Danio rerio: one gene and its partner. The protein of the gene in region 1 binds, or shares a complex with, the protein of each later gene. Links are inferred from orthologs where the notes say so. Each region holds a gene or a part of one and is shown on either strand. Other genes may lie near its edges.

Region 1 (3,759 bases):
TGTAGCCTATAAATATACTATTGGACGGACAGACAGACAGACAGACAGACAGACAGACAGACAGACAGACAGACAGACAGACAGACAGACAGACAGACAGACAGATAGATAGATAGATAGATAGATAGATAGATAGATAGATAGATAGATAGATAGATAGATAGATAGATAGATAGATAGATAGATAGATAGATAGATAGATAGGATGGACGGATAGACAGACAGATATAGACGGACGGATGGATGGATAGACAGACAAACATGATAGATAGATAGATAAACACAGACAGCACCTACCAGACATTCATTATTGTAAAACGTGAATCAGGAAATGTTAATAAATGTGGAGCAGTGCAGATAGAGAAACATATTATTAGAAATTATGAATACTAAATGAGTGAAACTTATGGAGAATTAAGTTTAAAACAAATGAGAATTTAAGAATATTCATTCATTCATTTTCTTGTTGGCTTAGTCCCTTTAATTTAAGAATATGTTAAGCAATAAATTGGGGTGAATTAAAAAACAATAACAAAAGCACTCGGTATAAGAGCAACAAAGTTCAGTCTATTGAAAATTGAGAATATAACAATTAAGAATATGTTAAGAAATGCCCCAGAACAATATGAAGTGTATTTTGCGATTATAAATCAGTGAAATGCAATAGGTATAATAAATGGAATTTAAGGAGAATGAACTATAAAGATTATATATATATATGTGTGTGTGTGTGTGTGTAAAATACATTTTATTCTGTTATATATTACTAGTATCCAGTAAAAAAAACAGTGAAGTCTAGAAGGGATGCAGTTGCAGGTACATCAATATGACATAATTTGTGTAACACTACAACAATAATTAATATTTTCACATTACTGTGATAAAAGGGGTAAATGTTAATAAAAATTCAATTTAATAGGTAATGTTATAAAAAATATGAATAATACTTTGTATTATTACTTTTTCCATTACTGGGGTGGGGGTAGACATTGATAAATTACAATGAATGGGTAATTAAATAAATAATATGACTAATACTGTGTATACCTGTTTTTACATTACTGTTATGGTTGGGTTTAGGTTTGGGGTAGAGATAGACGTTAATACAATAAAATTAATGGTTAATTTATGAAATAATATGACTAATACTCTGTTTAATTGCTGTTTTTGCATTACTGTGAGGTTTGGGTTTATTGTTGAGGTAGGGGTAGATGGAAATATGGTAATAACATACAATTAATAGGTTATTTAATAAATAATACTGTCAGAATTGGGTTTAGGGTTGGGGTTGATGTTAATAAAATACAATAGATGTGTAGTTAAATAATATAAATAATTCTCGACCGCAGCTGTATCCCTTTTAGCAAAAACCCACACCAATCCACCAGGTGGCGGAAGTATAGCTTTTAAGAGGGTTGTCAACAGCCATTGAAACAAAGAAGAAGCAAACAGCGCAACTGACATCTCTTTCCTTCTGCTCAAACTGATAGATTTTAGTTTCATATTGAGCACAGATCATGTCAGCAGCTCTCGAGAAGCCGCAGATCATCGCGCACATCCAGAAGAGCTTGAACTACACGGTGTTCGAGAGCAAATGGATTCCGTGCAGCGCCAAGTTTGTTTGTATGGGAAACTTCGCGAGAGGAACCGGAGTGATGCAGATCTACGAGATCCAGCACGGGGAGCTGCAGCTGGTCAGAGAGGTCAGGTCTCTTCATAGTATATATTCACTGAAGCACAAATCAAACTGCTGAAAAGCTTTGCTGTTTATTAGCTAAGCCAGTTCGGCGCTTTCTAGAAAAGTCCTGAGGCGCGGTTGCCATGGCGACAAAACTCAACTGCCTCAGTCTCTGTTTACAACGCGTTTATTAACGTTTACTTCACCGTCATAGTTCATATTCATCCACAATACACATGTGAATCATGACTATAAGACTAGTCAGGGATCAGTTAAAAATAGAGATTTATTCATGATCTATTATGCAAAAATCCCTTTTATAAGGGGTTTAACCCCAGTTGTGTGTCAGCAGTTTGTGAATATCTCCAGCCTCTAATGGTAAAGATGAATTAATTGTGTTTGATGTAATCAGACTTAATAAAAACAGTCTGCGGAAACACTTTTTTAAAATTATATTTAATTTTATATATATATATATATATATATATATATATATATATATATATATATATATATATATATATAATATATATATATATATATATATATATATTTAATTTTTGAGTACTTTTAGGGCATGGGGTTGAAGATGAATACCATGTTTTGTAATGATATGTGAATATGTTGGTAAAATATAGTGTTTTTGGCCAAAAATCGAAATGGGCGACGCCCAAAATGGCTGACCTGTGAAAATCAGACATCATTCGACTCGACATGCTCTGCCGGATGTAATGAGACAAGTTTTATCAGTTTCGGACGAAAGGTTGAGACGTTATAAGCCAAAAATCAAGTTTTTTGTATCTCCGGACCACTAGGGGGCAATGTGCCAAAACTCAGCATATAACCTCGGACCCTAGTTGTCATAACACACACCAAGTTTGGTGTGAATCGGTGAATGCGTTACAGAGATATCGTCTCAAGTCCATTTTCGCAAGTTCTACGTTAAATTTGATCGCAAGTTAAGCGAAAACAGTTGGTCTAATCAACTTCAATTCCATAACTCTTGGTTGGCATGGTCTGTAGATCATGTGATTCAATTTTGGTGAAAATCGCAGAAACGGCCTAGGACGAGTTCGATCAAATAGGTTTTTCGAAAAATTTAAAATAGCGCGAAAAAATTCATGACGGAAAATGATGTCATAGGGTGCGTTTGAATCGGACTGAGCCAAGGAGTCAGCGGAATTTTGATTGTAGCCCATTCGGTTCAAAAGTTATTATGATAAACATACGTGAAAGTTTGGACAAGTGGTGGCGCTAGAGAGTTTGATTTTGAGACTTCACATTTGGTCTGATTAATGTTAAGACTGTCCTCTATCATTGTGCCAAATTATACAACTTTCCCGCATACGCCTATATGGGCTGCCATTCATATCCGGTGGAAGAAATGGAAGAAGAATTCTTACACTTGAATGAATCAAAAACTGAAGTACTAGTGTTTGGTCCTCCGAGTGTCTGTGAATCTACAATTAATAAATTAGGTTCGATCAAGCCTAAGGTCCACAGTCACGTAAAAAATCTTGGAGTTACTTTTGACACTGAGTTAAAGTTTGACAAGCAAATAAACTCAGTTGTCAAAAGTGGTTTCTATCAATTAGGGAACATTGCCAAATTGAAGCCTTTTCTTTCTTTTAAAGAGCTGGAAACTGTCATTAATGTTTTTATTATGTCAAGACTGGACTACTGTAACTCTTTGTATTCTGGAGTTTCACAGGCATCAATAGCACGCCTGCAGCTGGTTCAAAATGCAGCTGCTAGGCTTTTAACTGGGACAAAAAAATCCTCTAGTATCTCACCAGTTTTATTGTCTCTTCACTGGCTCCCAGTCCAATTTAGAATTCAATATAAATTATTGCTTCTAGTTTTTAAAAGTTTGAATGGTCTGGCACCGACTTACATTTCTGAGCTTCTTCACTGGCACACTTCATTGAGGCCAATCAGGTCCGAAAACACGTTTCAGCTAGTTGTCCCCAAAACGCGGTTGAAATCAAGAGGTGAAAGGGTTTTATTGCTGCAGCCCCCCGACTATGGAAGGGTCTGCCTTTACAGATCCGGTCATGTTCTTCACTTGGTGCTTTTAAGTC
Region 2 (3,759 bases), on another chromosome or scaffold:
GTACCTCCTGCCATTGGGATTGACTATCATCTGCTGGCTGGGAAGCAACTGATACGAGTGTGAAAAAAGCTCTTTCAGGATTGAATTTCCAAAGCAGACTTCTTCTCCCGAAAAAGTCCCTCCCGAACCAGATGCAGCGCTCAGACTTTTGGTAATAGATAAAGGCCCACGGTCCTTCGAGTTGTGATAACAAACATACAATATCTGAGGCACTGGTGGCCATTGACAGTTGATGAAGAAGAACTTTGGTGTCATTTTCTTCCTGCTCTAATTTCAGACCACCAAACACCTCTCCATTCCAGAGAAGCATATTCCCAGTGTCATCTTGAAGAGGTTGAGGGGTCAGGCAACCCCTCATATGAAGTACATGTGCAGAGAATAGGACACTGCAGTTTGAGATTTCTTTTGTAATGTCTTTGCTACAATTGGGTCCTCTGTGTTTGAGATTTTGAAGCACATTCTCCTCCAGTGGATCATGTGGTGTGGTCAAACTGACCACACAGCAGATCCCACACATGATATCACTTCACTATATATCTTGATATTCTTTCCGCATGTTATCCAGGTCCTCTGTATAACAGAATATTATGACAATGTTAGAAGAACACACTCAAAATGGTGGCATTAGTATTGTATTTATGTATCATCTATCAAAAAAGCAGAAACAACTCAAGTATAACAGAAACACTTACGTTTACAAGAGCTAAGGGTTTCTCCTTTGTCTGCCAGAAAGAATATATTGCTGTTGGGTTGCTGGGTGTACACTCTCTGTGAATATAATCTTAGTATTACTGGAATGTGATGATATCAAGTCAAGTTGAGCTTTATTGTCATTCCACTACATGTGTGATCTCGGCATGGGACGGTAACCGGTTTCAAGGTTTACCGCGGTTTGGAAAATTCAAGGTTTTAATCCCAGTAAATTGTTCTGTTATACCGTTCCCAAGTTATATGTAAAAGTTTTTTTATATATTTTTATGTGTTGTATAGAAATCTACGTTTTTCAAACTAACGAATAGAGCAGAAGTCAAAGATTTATTTTAACTATTTAGCCTGACATGTTTACTGTTCCAAAATATTATGTTCCTTAAAATAAATAATTTGTGTTCAGTGGGGAAATTATAAATGTTTGTTCTATTTTACCCATACATTTTAAAAAAGAGAGAGCAGTAATCACTTTCACAATACTGTGATACCGTGGTATTTTTATACAAGGTTATCATACCGTCAGAAATTTATACCGGCCCATGCCTAGTGTGAACATACAGAGAAACTAAATGTGCAGTCTCCCAGGACAACGGTGCTACATAAATTAATCATAAATACAAACACAACTCTGCACATAAGAGCTATTTTAAAAACCTACGCATAACTATAAGATACTTCACTATACACATGGACTGGCTATAGAAGTACTCTAGAAAATCTCCACAAAAATGGGCCAGAAATGAAACTCAGTCCTATTTGCTTCATTTACAAGTCTGCCATAAGAAGAACACTGACTTTGAGGTAAATTATCTTAAAATAATAAATTCAATAGTTCAAAGGAATTATCCAATTTGAATCCCCATGGGTTAGAAAATGGCAACAGATGATACATTTAAGGTACTTTATAAGTTGATAATTTTGTCAAGCTTAAATTCTACTTTGCTTTTAATTGATGTCAAATAAACTGTTTCACAATTACGTTTTATCTTTCATAAATTTAACTGGAAAAATATCTCTAAACATCGAAGGAACTTCTTAGTTGATATTTTTAAATGTGAATGTAATTAATATCATGGTAAGACTTTATTTTGATGGTCCCTGTTGCACATTTTTCTGACTAAAGTTGTACTGCAACTAAATGCCAGTTACTTCTCATTTGGGTATTAGTAGACTGTCTGCTTAATATCTGCTGATACTGCTGCTTTCAACATTTCACTGACTAAGAAACTTTGCAAGTACATGTCAATTTACACCAACCCCACCTGACAGTCTACTTATAATCTATTGCGAATTAGTATAGTGGAGCATAAGTTCATATATTATATTGTATGCTACACTAGAAAACATTTTAGTATATATTGCCTTCTATAGCGATGTGGTTTGACTTTGTTACATCTATAATTAAGTGAAAGCATCTGCTACACCAAATGCAGAATGACTCTTGATAATATATAGAAAGTGACAAGACGATATGACGTTACATACCCTGTTTTTCTTCAAGTTACTTAACTCGTCCACAACAATCTTTTGCTCTTTTATCTGCGAATGAATAGTTATGTTTTTAGGATCATCAAAAAACAGAAATTACTAAACATGCTTAACGCGTTTTACTGGTGTCAACTGTATACTATAAATTACAAAAAACATATATGATAGACAACCTTTTGGTTCAGCTCCTCTTTTTGTGCGCGCTCTTCTGAGGCCCCAGGCTCAGTTCGCTGTATGTTCTTGGAGGACATTGTTTATTAATACGCTTCAGATCATTTTTAGGGAAACATCTCCACGAGCAAGTAACTCGTTCGTCGCACAAGAATGACGTATGCGCCAACGACGCTTTAAAAGTGCGTCACGTAATCCTAACCCCATTATCCCCCATAAACAAAGCCTGTTAAAGAATAATGTTGGGTGGATAAATCTGCAGCATCTAAACAAAGACGCGTTGTTGAATGAAACAGGGAATCTAAGTAATGTGGTCAAATACGGTTCAAATACGTCGAATGCTTTCAAATAGAGTTTTTACCCGGATATTAACGACTTTTCATCGCGAAACAGCGGCTAGCCCATCTATCTAAACCTGATATTATCATATTATCTTATATCATATTTTGCCATTCTTCTAATGTACGATAAGATGGTAATAAACAAAGCCTATCATAGCTCTAGGCGTACATTATCTTATCCAAATATTTTGGTTTATCCTCAGTAATTTGAGAGCTATCCTAAAGAGGATTGTTTGCATTTAACTTTCAAGATGAACAAATAATGCTCATCTTAATGGAAAAATTGTTCAGGGTGTCCGCAGGGACTTTAAAAGTCTTACATTTCAAAAACAACATTTTAGGCCTTTTAAAACTTTACTTAAAAGGGTGTTACAGGTCTTAAATAATTTTAAACAGGTGTTAATTTTTTTGTCCATGTAAAGCTATTTAATCGGTACAAATAACAATTATTCTAAAAAAACAATTAACTAAATTGTATATTCTAAAACTCTTTACCAATTTGGTTCAATTATCTTTCTTAAAATAAACTTATTTTGTTTATAAATAAGTGTTTGAATTGTAATGGGGCAAGTAAAAACAAATTGCACTGGTCCTTAGAAAACAAGTTTGACATTCATTCATTCATTTTCTTTTCAGTTTAGTTCCTTTATTCATCAGGGGTCGCCACAGCGGAATGAACTACTAACCTATCCAGCATATGTTTTACACAGCGTGTGCCCTTCCAGCTGTAACCCAGTACTGGGAAACATCCATACACGCTCATTCACACTTATACACTACAGACATTTTAGTTTATTTATTTCACCTATACTTCATGACTTTGGACTGTGGGGGAAACCGGAGCACCAGAAGGAAACCCACACCAACATGGGAGAACATGCAAACTTCACACAAAAATGCCAACTGACCCAGTCAAGACTCGAACCAGCGACCTTCTTGCTGTGAGGCAACAGTGCTAACCAATGAGCCACTGTATCCCTCCTAAATTTTGTACATAGGAATAATGCTCTAAAGTGAAGCGAAGAGAGGGGTGGGGGGTTGTGCATGAACC

The links. Proteins that work in one complex are often made in the same cells at the same time.
Region 2: dnaaf10 (region 1) and asdurf share a complex: the UniProt entries of both Homo sapiens proteins name them as parts of the PAQosome complex. The link is inferred for Danio rerio from reciprocal best matches to the Homo sapiens genes DNAAF10 and ASDURF.

The regions. Positions count from the first base shown.
Region 1 is NC_133188.1:1,036,453-1,040,211, forward strand, and holds the start of dnaaf10 (dynein axonemal assembly factor 10), read left to right. Parts: upstream 1-1,495; 5' UTR 1,496-1,517; coding exon 1,518-1,703; intron 1,704-3,759. UniProt on the Homo sapiens protein: Key assembly factor specifically required for the stability of axonemal dynein heavy chains in cytoplasm.
Region 2 is NC_133184.1:42,816,639-42,820,397, forward strand, and holds asdurf (ASNSD1 upstream open reading frame protein), read right to left. Parts: upstream 2,523-3,759; 5' UTR 2,448-2,522; coding exon 2,370-2,447; intron 2,248-2,369; coding exon 2,194-2,247; intron 769-2,193; coding exon 693-768; intron 571-692; coding exon 530-570; 3' UTR 518-529; downstream 1-517. Other genes in the region: asnsd1 (asparagine synthetase domain-containing protein 1), read right to left, coding at 1-517.